Rattus norvegicus: one gene and its partner. The protein of the gene in region 2 interacts with the protein of the main gene of each other region in a biochemical or structural test. Links are inferred from orthologs where the notes say so. Each region holds a gene or a part of one and is shown on either strand. Other genes may lie near its edges.

Evidence for each region. The genes of interacting proteins can lie anywhere in the genome.
Region 1: the proteins of Siah2 (region 2) and Egln3 form a complex in vitro, tested with the Homo sapiens proteins (2 studies listed by BioGRID). The link is inferred for Rattus norvegicus from reciprocal best matches to the Homo sapiens genes SIAH2 and EGLN3.

What each region holds. Positions count from the first base shown.
Region 1 is NC_086024.1:77,386,883-77,390,527, reverse strand, and holds part of Egln3 (prolyl hydroxylase EGLN3), read left to right. Parts: intron 1-170; coding exon 171-307; intron 308-2,294; coding exon 2,295-2,368; intron 2,369-3,384; coding exon 3,385-3,416; 3' UTR 3,417-3,645. UniProt on the Homo sapiens protein: Prolyl hydroxylase that mediates hydroxylation of proline residues in target proteins, such as PKM, TELO2, ATF4 and HIF1A. Target proteins are preferentially recognized via a LXXLAP motif.
Region 2 is NC_086020.1:145,078,755-145,082,862, reverse strand, and holds the start of Siah2 (E3 ubiquitin-protein ligase SIAH2), read left to right. Parts: upstream 1-1,187; 5' UTR 1,188-1,425; coding exon 1,426-1,845; intron 1,846-3,374; exon of another isoform or gene 3,375-4,108. UniProt on the Homo sapiens protein: E3 ubiquitin-protein ligase that mediates ubiquitination and subsequent proteasomal degradation of target proteins.

The sequences.
Region 1 (3,645 bases), on a different chromosome or scaffold from region 2:
AGTCTGATACAAGTTCAATTCCAAAGTATGAGGGGGAATAAATAGTTATGGGCCAAAACCCACTTAAAGTTGAAGTATGGGTGGTATTTCTCCAGGATAGAGGTAACACATCATTGCTGATAAACCTCCTGTGAGACCAGGAAATAACTAATTATCTTCTTGGTTTTCAGTTACATGGAGGGGTCCTGCGGATATTTCCAGAAGGAAAATCATTTGTAGCAGACGTGGAGCCCATTTTTGATAGACTCCTGTTCTTCTGGTCAGACCGCAGGAATCCACATGAAGTTCAGCCCTCCTATGCCACCAGGTAAGAGGTGGGGGTCACAGTTCCTCTTCTAGGGTGCATACGAACCCTAGATTCCTGAAAACTAATGTCCTATATAAGGAAGTGCTGGGTACACCCCAAAACTGAGAGAACCTGTTTGGAGTGATGGAAATTGAAGGAGCCTCCTTGGGATTCATTAGCATACAAATCTGACTTCAATTTAAAGTAACTATTAACTTCCTGTTCTGTGAGTTGTGCATACCGCAGTCTCAGTCCCTTAGAATGTTTTCCCCTGTCCTTCTGTCCCTTCCTTCTCGACCATTAAGAAAAAGTTAGAGTTGCCTGGGCTTTGCGGTTCACTCCTGTGATACCAGCACTTGGAGGTTCGAGGGTTTAAGTCCCAAAAGCATCAGGGAACAGACAGAGCTAATGTTGAGCTGGCCCCCGTTACCACGTGTCAAGTTCTGCTTCTTTGAGTGAATTTACAGTCAGTTGAAGCAAAGAAAGAACCTTGGGAAGGAAAAGGGAATTTGTCTTGAATTTACTTCCTTTTCAACTCTTTCTATAGCTTAACATGTGTCTGGGCTAGCCTCATCCATGCAGTAACAATTGGATGTTATAGTTTTGTTTGCTCCATCCATCCATCCATCCATGCATCCTTGAGACAGGTCTCTTGTTGGGCTGGCTTGGAACTCACTATATAGCAGAGGATGACCTTGAGTTTCTGATCCTCCTGCCTCCACCCCCTAAGTGCTGCAGTCATAGGCATGGCCACTGCGTATAGTTTTTTCTGATGTTAGCTACGGCTTTAGGCACACAATGCAAGCATTCTATCAACTGAATAGACCCCAGACCATAATTCAATGTTCTTAAAACCTTTTTCCTTTTTATTTTTTTCTTCCCCCCTCCTTCTCTCCCCTCCTCCCTCCCCCACCCCCACCCGGGCACATGGATAAGCAGAATTCTAAAGTCAATGAACAACTTAGAATTGTAATCTTAATCTAGAAAGCCGATAAAAGCATTTACTCCTCTTCTGCCTTGAGTTCTCCCTTCTCTTCCCACACCACGGGCCAGGCAGGGAGCAGAGTGGTGTGGAGTAGGGCTTGTCCTGGGAAGGGTGTTGAGGTGGGAAAGCTGTGGAAGGATGGTGTTCAGCATTATCAAGCTTAGCCTTCTGCATAGCCCTATAGACATCCTGACCTGAGCTCCAGTTACAGATTCAGTCACACTGTGACATGCTCTGCATAAACAGGCCACGAGTCGCTGCCGCTGAAGTCTACCTGCGGCTTGTTTTATGGGGTTCAATAATAGGACCCTGTTTTGTGGCAGGATTCTCTAGTTACTTCCAAGCCCCACTGTGACCAACTTTATAGAGGAAACATTAGCAAAAGTGATCAGAAGTCCCTGGGGGTTGAGTTGGGGATGGGGTGGGGTGCCGTGGAAAGTACTGTAGCTAATGATAATTATAAAAGTAGAAGGTTTAAAAATCCAAGCATGAGATAGTGCCAATTACAGTCCCTTCCACTAAAGCAAGTAACAGGAGCAGTGGAAAGCCCAAAGGTATCAGTACCGAGCTGAGTCTTGGCACCGGTGCTGAAAACTAAAGAAAGCAGGGCGAGAGTTAGGGTGGACAAAGCTACTTGTGAACACTTCCCTCGGATGTTGTTACCTCCCCTTCTCTGTTCTCTTCCGTCATCTTGGGTCTCCATCTATTGCGGGGCAAGTCTCTTTCAGGCCTTCCTAGGCAGATTACCTTTGCCCATTGCATTCTTACCCCTCCAGTCAGTCACTGGAGCCTGAGCTCTTAAGGGAAGTTTCTAGGGATAGCATCGTTGAGTTCCCAGTGCTCGGAGCAGGACCTGGCAGTCCCCGGAACGCCTGTGTTACACAGCATTTAAACAGAATCCGTCCCAAGGAAACACTTGTACATTAAAACGGTGGTGGTTTTGCAAGTGATTTTACTGTGAGCCTCACAGAGTTAGTTCAAAGCTTTTGGTGGTCTCCAATAGCACGTGTGTTTCTTCCACAGGTACGCCATGACTGTCTGGTACTTCGATGCTGAAGAAAGGGCAGAAGCCAAAAAGAAATTCAGGAATCTAACTAGTAGGTGTCTGGCCATTTCTGCAACTTTAGTTTTATACTTTTGTAATGACACTGTTTAGTCTCAGTCGTGACTTAGCTTCATGTGTAACGATACCTAAAGCCTTGACTTTCATGCTCTTAGAGGAATCAGAAGGACACGCATGGGACATTGCCCCTTGGGATGTCCACTCACTGTGGGATGGTTTGTAATAGACAGAAATAATTAACTTTTTATTGTGACTGTTAATCAGTCATGTCTAATATAAAATTTTGCTCACGGATTTAGCATTAATATAAAAGTATAACAGATCCTAGTGCCAGTGGTATGGGATTGTGGCTCGGTATAGAAGAAGTAGGGCTCTCACACTATCAAACCGATATGATTTCACATCGTTCCTGGCATCCGCAGCCAGCATTCATAAGCCATGCTTCTCAATACTGGCTATGCTAAGCTGAGCTTGGCGGAACAAGCACGAGGGGCTCCACCAACTAGACTGGGGCAGGGGGACCGTGAATTTGATGTCAGCCTGACCTCTGTAATGTCCGGCCTCCCCAAAAAGTTATACGAAAGCAGTAATCCTACCAAGTTGGTTCATGGAAAGGTAAACTTCTGTCCCTCTGAATACAGGAAATGCTGTGTCCTGTATCCCTCTTTCGAGTAACTGAGTGTTAGTATACTGAATTGATCCTAAGACGTCCTAAACGGAAAACGAGAGATGTCGCTCAGTTGGAGCACTAGTCTAACGTGTGGCATGTCATGGGTTCAATTCTTTTTACTGCCAAATAAATAAAATGTATTTTTACATAAAGAAATTGACGTAACTCTACCTAAGTCATGACCTCTGTACCTATCAAATGCCAAGAAAAGATGGCTTTACAAAGTTCTGTTGGGAATCTCAATTAGCTCTATAAAAGGGGATGTTTTTTACTAGAGGAGTGGGGGGGGGGGGGAGAGGGAGAGGGAGAGGGAGACTTGATGACTGACATAATTCATCAAATTTGACTCCCTAACTTGTTTTTCCCTGTTTCCAACCCAGGAAAAACTGAATCTGCTCTTGCTAAAGACTGACGGTGGTGTGAAGTCCGCTGGGCGCATTCGTTTAGTGACAGTTCCTGAAATGTTAAGTGTCAAGATCCAAAGACTCTGTCCAATCCCCTGCCTACCGCCTGCATCGTTTGGCTCCCTACCTTGTTTGTGGTACTTCGTGTTTTCTTGCTGGGAATGCGTTGCCCTCCAGACACTCTCTTTGCCGGATGAACTCATTTGCTAACTCCAGAAACACCTGCAGACATCCTAG
Region 2 (4,108 bases):
TAATTTTTATTTATGGGCATGTGTGTATACGATGTATACTGGTGCCAAACGGCATCAGATCCCCTGGAGCTGAGGTTATGGGCGATTGTAGGTTCTGGAAACCAAAGTTTGGTCCTCTAAGAATAGTACGTTGAGGCATCTCTCCAGCCCCTGTAGGTGCCCTTTATTCTACACCTCTAAGTCTACATCTTACTTTACACCTCTGAGACAGTCCACATGTCGGGGTGTATAAAGAAGACTCAGGAGGAATCCAGCACCAATCCTGTCAAGCTGAGGAGGGTTGGTAACAGGTACGTTGAACTCACAATCCTTTACCTTCCTCTTAAAGCCCCAGGTAAGCTTCAAAGCCTAAGGCTTGGACCAGGACTAGATATTAAGGACTCAGATAGTAGAGGGTCTCCTGTCATTTTGGGCCTCACAAACCCAACCCACGTGTATGGTATTCCTTGGAGATTTTAATTCTCCACCGAGCCAGAGATCTCCAAGAGGTCCGGGTTCTCTTGGACCGGAGGCGGCCAAATAATTCCAAGAAGCTTTCGCCAGTGGGCTTTTGAAGGAAAACCGCGGGTTTACCTCCTAGCCTTAAGGGCAGGACCACTGGAGAGTCTACCCTCATACCTAACTGCCCGGCCACACCCGAGGCCTTCGCGCGGCTCCCGCCCGACTCCGGGTCCCGCCCCCGCGTGTCAAGCTACGGGCTGAGCAGCAAGATCGCAAGCTTCTCCGGCGCGTCAATGACTCAACCCTAAAAGAAACGTGGGGATTCCGAGCCCCGCCCCTGCCCCGCCCCACCCCTGGCGCACTCGCGCGCCGTCCACGCCCACGCCGGGCCAGCAGTTGCCCTTCTGGCTGGAGTCCTGTGCGCGTCGGTGTAGGTCCCCTGGGAAGAGTCGGAAGACTTGGGCTGCGTCCTCTCCCTGCGCTGCCGGCTGGCTTCCGCCACCGCCGAGAAGCGACCCCGCGCGGCGGCGACCGACCGAGTCAAGTGTTCCCAGCGGGAAACCGCTCCGGCGCTGCCAGCTGGGCCGGGCGGAGCTGCGCGGGCCGCAGGGTGGCTCTGCCAGTCCCAGAGTGCCGGGTCGGCCGCACACGTGTCTTAGCGTCACGTCCGCGCGCGCCCCCGGGGCTTGCGTCAGCTGCGGCTCCTGAAGCGGGTGGGCCAGGGCTTTGCGCACCAGAACGCCTCCGGAGGAGGGCACCGCACGGCCGCGATCCCCGAGAGCGTCGACCACTCCGGGCGCCGCCGAGAGGATCGGCGCGGTCGCGTCCCCGCCCTCCCGGTGCTGGTCGGGTCCGCGCCCGGTCCCCGGACTGGGCGCCGTGGCGTTACCCCGGAGCCCGCCACCCGCGGGGCGCGCACCGCCTTAACCCGGGCGGCCCCGCGGCAGGCAGAAGCCCGCAGGTCCATGGTGGGCTCGGAGCGCGATGAGCCGCCCGTCCTCCACCGGCCCCAGCGCTAACAAACCCTGCAGCAAGCAGCCGCCGCCGCCTCAGACCCCGCACGCCCCGTCCCCGGCTGCGCCCCCGGCTGCCGCCACCATCTCGGCTGCGGGCCCCGGCTCGTCCGCGGTGCCCGCCGCGGCAGCGGTGATCTCAGGCCCCGGCGCCGGCGGCGGGGCCGGCCCAGTGTCCCCGCAGCACCACGAGCTGACCTCGCTCTTCGAGTGCCCGGTCTGTTTTGACTATGTCCTGCCCCCCATTCTGCAGTGCCAGGCCGGGCACCTGGTGTGTAACCAATGCCGCCAGAAGTTGAGCTGCTGCCCGACGTGCAGGGGCGCCCTAACGCCCAGCATCAGGAACCTGGCTATGGAGAAGGTCGCCTCGGCAGTTCTGTTTCCCTGTAAGGTAAGTCCAACCACCATCCGCAAATCTGCCAAGGAACCTTCCAGAGTTCCAGTGCCCTCCAGCGCACTTGAAGGCCCTGAGAAGCGAATGGCATATCACTGCTTTCCTTCTTTCTGTCTCCTTCTCCATGTGTCTGTCTCTCTAACACTCTCTCTCTCTCTCTCTCTCTCTCTCTCTCTCTCTCTCTCTCTCTCTGTGTGTGTGTGTGTGTGTGTGTGTGTGTGGGTGTGTGTGCCTATTGTTAACCGCCCACCTGTCCATTTTGGGAACTAGCAACTAGGGTTGATGTTTGCCAGAGCACTGACTGTAGATTAAGTTGGCACTTGCTGCGGGTTAGAAGCATCCCAGCTCTTTCAACCGAGTGCCGCCGCGTCCCCTGCAGGGGTGTGCTCTGTAAGGCTGGACAGCTTAACTAAAACTGGGAAGCTGACCGTGTAGATTGTGGAGGAAGGACACGGACGGTTTCCAGCAACAAGCATGGTTAGGAATGGACCCAGTGCCCAAGATCTGGGAGCTCTCTTGAGAGTGCGCTTACACAGGGGAAGCGGATACTGCCTGCTTCACTCGAGTGCGGAAAAAATCCTGCAAGCCACGCCTTCTCGCAGCCTCCCAGACTTGGGGAGAACTCTGAAATTGTGGCTGCTGTTTGGGGTTTGGTTTGGTTTGGTCTGGTTGTTGTTTATTACCTAAGCGCGACCACGAGGACTCATCGAGGACACTCAAGAGCTTTGTTAGTTCTCTTCAGTGCCAGCATTTTATTTAAAGAGTTACCTGTGCTCCTGGGGAGTAGGGAGGAGAAGCAAACCACAAGCCAAAGTGCAAGCTCTCATTCCCTTGTTCCACCTGTTCGTTTAGAGCCTACATTTACACCCGCACAGCTAAATTAATAGAATCGTTAATGTCTGCCTCTGAAAGCTTTTTTAAAAGTACCCACAGAGATAATGTTTTTTCCCTTTTACAACCAGCTTTACAAATTAATATCCTCACCTGTTTCATGTCTGAAACTTGACTTGATCTTCTGTATTTTAAATGATAGGTTACATTTGTGTGGTTATACTGTTGCCAGTACTGAAGCCCTTAAAAAAAAAAAGCCTTACAACCTCATTTATATGCCTCTCTCTAATCTAGACCTCTACCAACGAGTTCATTTTCTAAAGTTGTAGGTGGGAATAATGTTAATATTTCTGAGATTTTTTTTTAATGAAAGTAATTGTTCTACCTGAGACAGTTTAAGTTGTCTTGCATTATCTCCTCAGTGGTGATTAGTTTTTAGGGCAAGATCTGTTTTAAACTAAAAATAGCTCACTGGAGATTTTCATTTTAGACTTCCGAGTCAAATCAGTAAAATGAGTGAGTTACTTTGGTCTTCTGCCCAACTACAAGCACAGTTAAAGTAGCTTATTTGAATAAGGGTTTGAATGAGGGTTTAGGCTATAGGGTCACCTTATTAAATTGCTTGCCTTTAGCCTCACACCCGGTACTGCTTATTAATTCACTCAGTGCAGCATCTGTGCAATTTGAATTAAATATTTTCATGCCTCCTCCTTTTATTGAAAGTAGATTTTTTCCCCTCCTATAATACAACCTGGTTACAGTCGGTCTGCCCCCCTTGCTCCTCCCAGTTCCTTCCCACCTCCCCTCCCATCCAGATCCACTCCCTCTCTGTCTCTCATTAAAAAAGAACAAGCATCTAAGGGATGATAAAAATAACATAAAGACCAGGAAAAGGCACAAGGAGTCAAAGACCCCCTTGTTCTCACATTCTGGAAGTCATAATTTATACCCAGAGGACCCTTGCAGAGGTCCTTCAGGCCCTGTGCAGGCTGTGTGTCAGGGTCTGTTCTCCATCACTGTGGGTCACTCAGGATGAACTCTTTCTAGTTCTGTTCATCTGCATTCTTCTTAATGGCTGAGTAATACTCCAACGAGTAAAAGTTCCACGTGTTCTCTATCCATTCTTTAGAGAGCCATCTAGGCTGTTTCTGACTTATGGTAATTATAAATAGAGAAACAATGAGCGTGTTTGAACAGGTGTCCCTGTGGGAGGATGAAGCACCCTTTGGCTGTATGACCAAGAGTGGTAGAGCTGAGTCTTGAGGTAGATCATTTCCCATCTTCCTGAGGAACCACCACACTGATTTCCACAGTGGCTGTAGAACTTTGCACTCCTCCCAGCAGTGGTTGGGCGTCACCAGCATGAGGCTGTCACTTGTGTTACTGAACTCAGCCATTCTGACAGGCATTAAATAGAATCTCAAAGTCA